2 linked regions of the Canis lupus familiaris genome follow. The protein of the gene in region 2 purifies or fractionates together with the protein of the main gene of each other region. This does not show direct contact. Links are inferred from orthologs where the notes say so. Each region holds a gene or a part of one and is shown on either strand. Other genes may lie near its edges. The genes, in order: CSNK2A2 and NKAPD1.

What was found.
Region 1: the proteins of NKAPD1 (region 2) and CSNK2A2 purify together in Homo sapiens (affinity purification with mass spectrometry; 5 studies listed by BioGRID and IntAct, counting the BioPlex papers as one, with this or other methods). This does not show direct contact. The link is inferred for Canis lupus familiaris from reciprocal best matches to the Homo sapiens genes NKAPD1 and CSNK2A2.

What each region holds. Positions count from the first base shown.
Region 1 is NC_049223.1:57,697,469-57,701,287, forward strand, and holds part of CSNK2A2 (casein kinase II subunit alpha'), read left to right. Parts: intron 1-341; coding exon 342-425; intron 426-1,223; coding exon 1,224-1,334; intron 1,335-1,575; coding exon 1,576-1,677; intron 1,678-2,420; coding exon 2,421-2,521; intron 2,522-3,535; coding exon 3,536-3,684; intron 3,685-3,819.
Region 2 is NC_049226.1:21,077,126-21,080,944, forward strand, and holds part of NKAPD1 (uncharacterized protein NKAPD1), read right to left. Parts: intron 3,381-3,819; coding exon 3,327-3,380; intron 1,889-3,326; coding exon 1,381-1,888; 3' UTR 1-1,380.

The sequences.
Region 1 (3,819 bases), on a different chromosome or scaffold from region 2:
GGACTGGTTTTAAACCCTTTGAGTTAGACCAATAGATTAATGTATGATTCCTAAGTCAAAGTGACTGGTAAAGTGTTACTTACTAACTGCAAGTAGCAAGAGTGTCCAGAGAAGTGTCTCCTATCTTCCCTCCTTAACGCAGCCCCTTTTCCGCCGGCTGCCAGCATAGTGTGCACAGAGCACTAGGGGTACCATCTGAGGCATGGTTATTGTCCTCTGTCGCAGCAGTAAGCTGCCCCTTGGGAGATTGTATTCACGTGAAGCTGTCACAAATAATATGCTTGCGTTGGGAGGTTGGTAGACAGTGTGCTTACTTTTCTCTGTGCTTTCTTATCTAATAGGCTCTGGATTACTGCCACAGCAAGGGAATCATGCACAGGGATGTGAAACCTCACAATGTCATGATAGATCACCAACAGAAAAAGGTACCGTTGCAGCCAGGCAGCAACAAGGCTTTTCTTAAAAGGTCTAGGGCAGACCACAACTCTAGGTATTGACCTAGGAGGGACTGCAGACCAGTACTGTTTTCTTTGGCAGACTTGTGTTATTGTTATTTCTCCGGTCTCCAGTGTTGCTTTCTGCTCTGCATGAGCATGGTACACAAGGAAAGTAGACCCGTGAGCCTAACTGTAGTCCCTTGTTTATTTTGGTCATGGTTTTCCAGAGGGCCTCGCAAAGAAACTCCAGCAGATGGTTTGTACTTCTTTTAATGACCCTTAGACCAGTCTGCCTAGCCTTTACACTTGGGTCCCTCCTGTTTTTCATATCCAATTCTGGTTGTCTCTGATTGGTGAGTAAGTGATTCCACTACTGTGTGATTAATGAAAAGCTGGAGCAATGCTTCAATCCTGGGGTGGGGCCTGGGTCTCCAACCCTTTGTGTTGTGGCTTGAGCTTATGATGGGAGCTGTTAATAATGGGGGAATGTGTTATATGCAAGTAAAACAGAGGCAGAGTAAAAAGCTTAAGCTTGATTGATGGGAAGAGAATGATAAGCCAGGATAATTTAAATTAAAAAAAAAAAACAACAACAAATAAGATTCTGAAAGCTCTACTGTAGAGGTGACCTCTTCCACAGTTGCTGAAAGGGTAATTTTTGCCAGTGCACTGGCTAACATTTGTTATGTAGCGCACATATTGTCAGCTAACGTGATGTGGCCTTTTTCTAAGGCACAGGTGTCTAGAAACACTCCTTTACGGGTTTGATTTCTGTTGTGTTTGTAGCTGCGGCTCATAGACTGGGGTCTGGCAGAGTTCTACCACCCTGCTCAGGAGTACAATGTCCGTGTAGCATCGAGGTACTTCAAGGGACCGGAGCTCCTTGTGGACTATCAGGTACAACTCACGCCTCCTTTGTGTGTTTCCTTAGGGCTTCTCCTCGTGTGCTGTTTATTAAGTCAGTTTGGATACATTCAAAACCCCAGCCTGAAGCAGTCATTTCAGATTTTTCTCAGTGACTTTTTTTTTTTTCTTTGAATTCTAAAATATGTGCAAAGGTCAACTGAAGACTAGAAATCCAGATCAAAGAAATACATTTGCAACACCTTTCACTAACAGGCTGACCTTGTTTCCCCAGATGTACGATTACAGCTTGGACATGTGGAGTTTGGGCTGTATGTTAGCAAGCATGATCTTTCGAAAGGAGCCCTTCTTTCACGGACAGGACAACTATGACCAGGTGAGCAAACACTAACTGGCTCTTCCCCATGTGGGGGCACATGCCAAAGAAATGGGAGTCTGTTGACAGGGATGCTATCCTTGAGTCACTCAGTGTCTGCACTTAAGTTCTCCTTCAGGGTAAAGAGCTTCATGAGATTTTGTCTGTGGTTACTAGGTCCCCAAACATAGAGCCAGATAAAGCTATCTTACTAAGCTCCACGTATGCCCCACAGTGAGTCTGTGAAGAAGTCAGACACACCTTGTCTAACAACTAGCTTCTAGATTAGATTGTGATGCCCCCGTAATTGTCAGCTTCTGGAAGATTATTGTCTTAAGTTATTACCATTTTATTTTTGTTTTGTTTTTAATTTTTTTTTTTTTTATTTATTTATGATGGTCACACAGAGAGAGAGAGAGAGGCAGAGACATAGGCAGAGGGAGAAGCAGGCTCCATGCACTGGGAGCCTGATGTGGGATTCGATCCCCGGTCTCCAGGATCGCGCCCTGGGCCAAAGGCAGGCGCCAAACCGCTGCGCCACCCAGGGATCCCAGTTATTACCATTTTAAAGGGAGTTTGGAAATTTGCTTTCTGTGAACATCATTGGCCTTTGGTCTACCTCCTGTCAGCCCCGGGCTCCAATCTGCCTCTGGTCCCTGGAGATTCAGTGATGGAGAAGTCCTCTCATTTCTTGGGATAGCATCCTCACAGGCTTGCGGTGAGCTCTGTGCTCAGTAATTTGGTCAGTTTGTTTTGTGTTTCAGCTTGTTCGCATTGCCAAGGTTCTGGGTACAGATGAGCTGTATGGGTATCTGAAGAAGTATCACATAGACCTAGATCCGCACTTCAACGATATCCTGGGACAGTAAGTAAGAGAGAGGGAGAGAGAACGAGGGTTTTAACTAAACCCATTTCAGAAGAGGGAATATTCGCCGAAATCACTTGCTAATCATAGCAAAGTTGAAAATACCCTTCTTTTTTCTCATGTATGCTTTTTAAAACTTGTTTTGAGGTTTGGGCATTGTTTACATGTGTCTTCTGATCGTTGTACTTCTCCAAGAGATAACCTGTCAGTCCATAGAAAATAGGAGACAAAATCCTGTTACAGTGAAATGCTTTGCAGGACAGTGTATGCTTATTTTAATGGAAAATCTTAGAAAGCTGTGATTCTTCTTTGAGGAAGAGATTTATAGTTTTTTCTTGTTCTAGTTAACGGGTTTTCTACAAGGTGGCAAATTTTATTTTTTTTTAAGATCTTATTTATTTATTCATGATAGACATAGAGAGAGAGAGAGAGGCAGAGACACAGGCAGAGGGAGAAAAGCAGGCAGGCTCCATGCCAGGAGCCTGACGTGGGACTCGATCCCGGGACTCCAGGATCGCGCCCTGGGCCAAAGGCAGGCACCAAACCGCTGAGCCACCCAGGGATCCCCCCAACGTGGCAAATTTTAAAGCATATTTGCAGGTACAGTGTACTAGTGTTGAAAAGTAAATGCGTTGACAGTTCTCAGTGTTTTGTGGAGCCTCTGTTTCCAAGGCTAGCTCTCTAAATATTTTTGCTGCACAACAAAAATAACTCTGTCACCTCTGTGCCTCACCAGAATTGACTAAAAGCCTGATCCATAAGAAATGATCTAGGAAGGTGCCACAAATTCTAAATCAGATGTAGAAGCTTTAGTTCATTTTATCAGAGAGCATGTTTTTTGTTTCAAGATGCCTCAGATATTCCCGTGGAGGGTGGGGCAGACACCTGTGAGAATGAGATTTAATAAGTTTATAATCCTCCTGGGGTTCTAAGATTCTATTGGCTTTAACCATGGTAATGTCTGGATTCTTGTTGAATTGAATCTCAGTACCAGTGCTTCCCTTTCCTCCTCAGACATTCACGGAAACGCTGGGAAAACTTTATCCACAGTGAGAACAGACACCTCGTCAGCCCTGAGGCCCTAGATCTTCTGGACAAACTTCTGCGATACGACCATCAACAGAGACTGACCGCCAAAGAGGCCATGGAGCATCCCTACTTCTGTGAGTCTCCAGGGACCATTTGCAGGGGCCTGATTTATTAAAGGAATAAGTCTCCTGTTCTTTATCTTTGAGGCCAGTCAGGAGAATTCTAGGTGTTTGGATTGAATCATCCTTGGAATTTGGCCTCATTCATTC
Region 2 (3,819 bases):
ATTAGACATCTGTTCTGTAAAGAGAACAACTTTAGTAGTTAGAACTATAAAGTATTACCACCTCATGGAATGTTGTTATATTCTATTGCTGGTGTCTTACGCTGTCCTGCTGCCATGAAGCATTTCTGTATTCTACATGGGGAAAGTAAGGCCAGGGAGGTTAACTTACCTGTTCCAGATGTTGTAACTACCTAATTAGTGGTAGAACCAAAACTAAAGGTCTTGCATTTTCAAGCTTTCTACGCAGCCCATGAAGTGACAACCAGGAAAAACAATGGTGGGTCACTTGATATCCTGTCATAACGAACAAATTCACTTGTGTTCTGCCAGCCTTTTCTCCGTGACATTTTGGTTTCTTAGGATTTAACAGTAGGGATCACAGTATATAGCAAAGGGAAATACTATGGTCTCTGCTTGGTGCTTTAATCAGAAGGCAGACTGGGAAGAAGTAGGTGCGTCCCTGAGAAGCCTGTTTCATTTTGGAACTGATTCGACCTAGTTTCAGGGAAAATCTCAAGGTCATTAATAGATTTAGAAATGAACAAATATTTAAATTGGCAATTGCTACCCTGAATCCTGTTCAGAGCACCATGAGCATGACTAATTCCTAATTTTATCCCATTTGGTTGAGGACTTCCCCAAGATAACTAAAGAAATAATTTTGAACACAAGTCCATTTAGGCGATATACAGCAATGGAAGTAGAAAACCATTTACTATACCAATTACTATGTTTAGGGATATAGTGAGTGTAGCTATGGACCCTGTCCAGCAGGGAAACTTGACAGAAACCCTAGACTCCTAACAGCCGTCTATGGATGTTATCATGAAGGAAAAATGTTTTGCTCTTATACTCATCTTCTCATTAAATAAACTGGACCACATCTATGAGGCCAAAATACAGAAAGATCAAAGCACCAAGGCTGAAGACAAAAAAGGTCAAGTTGTGGCACCTATATAAACAGCAACACGATGTTCCCTTACAACATTCTACACAGCACCAGTTCCAATCCACCTCTTGATCCCAGCCCTTGCTTTCCCCAGATTCAACATCCCAATTAGTGTACCCAGGTTGTTATTGGATTCAGCCTTCTGGGTCCTTTAATTTGCTGTATATGCACTCTACCCTAAATGTGATTAATTGCAAAAAATAATCTCTTCGAGAAAACTTCATAACAAAATACCAGATTCCCTATTAACAGTAAGAGGATCAAGTTTAACAGGCCAAAATAGAAGACAAGAAGTCTGTCAGAACGAATGTAGATGGCACAGGACAGCTCTGACCTCAGGGCCCCTGTGCTGGGAATAGTCACTAGCAGAACCCCAAGGTGGAAGAGCTGTAAGTAACCAGTCAGATGGGAAATGGAGAATGTCTCCTCATCTAATCCTCCTCTGAACTCTCTGCAGACCTTTCATCTGTAGCCACTTTCCAATTTGTGCGTTTATTTGTCCTCTCTTGTATTTCATTGTTAACTAGAGGGATGTGAACATTTTTCTCGCTCTTTTTCCTTTTGGTTTTCTTAGTCTCTCTTTCCTCACCTTCCTCAGAACTGCTGGATGCAGAATCATCCGACTGGGAAGTGTCACTTTCTGCATCCAAGAATAAAGCAGATTTTTTGAGAGACTTTTTCCTGGATTTTTTCTTGCGCTTATGTGGTTGTTTCCTTTTCCTGGTACTAGAAGTCCCGGTTTCTTCCGAGAACTCACTTGAGGAATCTGCTGTTATATCTGTGGCTTCTTTTTTGCTTTTCTTCTGTTTTTTGTGTGACTTTTTTTTCTGCTTTTTTTTGTGGGATTTCTTGGACTTCTTGTGTTTGTGAGACTCGTGGGTAGATGATTTTACTTGAGGAGATGTTTTTTTTCCATTGGTAATATCTTGCTGATCACTACTAACAAAAAAGAGAAACTGCTTTACTATAGAAAATAAAAAGCGTATTTATATTTTAGTATTGAGCATTCTGGATAGAAAGTTGGGGCTGGGGCACCTGAGTGGCTCAATCAGTTAAGTGTCTGACTTCAGCTCAGGTCATGATCTCAGAGGTCCTGGGATTGAGACCCACATCAGGCTCCCCGCTTAGCGGGGAGAGTCTGCTTCTCCCTCTGCCCCTCCCATTGCTCATGCTCTCTCTCTAATAAAATCTTAAAAAAAAAAAAAAAAAAAAAAGTAAGTAGGGGTTAACATCTGAATTTTTAACTAAGAGCTTTAACAAAGGATTACTATGAGACTTTATCACTCTGAGTTTTATTTCCTTATTTTGTTTTCTTAAAATTAAGGTAAAAATTCTAATCTGCCAAACTGAGTTACTGTATTGAATACTATGTATAAAAACCTAAATGTTGGGCAGCCCCGGTGACGCAGCGGTTTAGCGCCGCCTGCAGCCCAGGGCGTGATCCTGGAGACCCTGGATTGAGTCCCACGTCAGGCTCTCTTCATGGAGCCTGCTTCTCCCTCTGCCTGTGTGTCTCTGCTACTCTCTCTCTCTCCTCTCTCTCTCTCTCTATGAATAAATAAATAAAATCTTAAAAAAAAAAAAAAAAACCTAAATATTGGAATCCCTGGGTGGCTCAGCAGTTTAGCACCTGGCTTTGGCCTAGAGCATATTCCTGGAGTCCCGGAATCGAGTCCCACATCATGCTCCCTGCATGGAGCCTGCTTCTCCCTCTGCCTGTGTCTCTGCATCTCTCTCTGTGTGTCTCTTATGAATAAATAAATAAAATCTTATTAAAAAAAAAAACAAAACTAAATGCTGGGGTACCTGGGTGGCTCAGTGGTTGAGCATCTGCCTTTGGCTCAGGTCATGATCCCGGAGTCACGGAATCAAGTCCCACATCGGGCTCCCTGCAGGGAGCCTGCTTCTCCCTCTGCCTCTGTCTCTGCCTCTCTCATGAATTAAAAAAAAAAACAACAAAAAAAAAAACAGGGATGCCTGGGTGGCTCAGTGGTTGGGTGTCTGCCTTCAGGCTCAGGACGTGATCCTGCAGTCCCGGGATCGAGTTCCACGTTGAGCTCCCTGCAAGGAGCCTGCTTCTCCCTCTCCCTGTGTCTCTGCCTCTCTCTGTGTCTCTCATAAATAAATAAAATCTTAAAAAAAAAAAAAAAAAACCTAAATGATATATATATATGCAGAACATCAATCAGGAGAAGGCAATATACCAATTATCTCCCCACAAAATTGCCTGTTATTTTTCTGGGTTACATTTTTAATGGCAAACGTCATCTCCTTTGTAAAATTAGGAACCCAATTTTACGATACTATACGTCAGTACAGACTTAGTATTAATCTTACAGCTTCTAGCTTTTTTTTTCAATAAGCCTATTTATCTTACCTGTCTGTTTCAAATTCTTCAGGGTATAACTCTTTATAACCACTGTGACCCCATCTGTAAGATGACATATTTCATTACATGTATTAGAGCAATGCATACATTTTTGAAAATTAAAAAAAAAGAGACTCAGGAGTACATGCAGACACAGACATGCACAGAGAACAAAGGAAATAGAGATAATGATAGAGCCAATCCCATCTTCAAGCTCAGTAACTTAGTTGGCTACATTTTTTGTACTGCGTTATTATTTCAGACACAAAGGATTCTTTTGTCCATTTGTAAGAGAACTTGCCATTCTCAGGAAACACTAAGGAACTCTTCTATCCTGCTCTTTAGCTGTAAAGTGCTTCTCCAAAAACAACTTGTAACAATACTGTCTACAATGGGACAATTTTTTTTTTTTTACACAGCAATCCTATTGAGATGTAATTCCCAGGCCAGGAAATTCGCAATCCTATTGAGATGTAATTCCCAGGCCAGGAAATTCATCCTT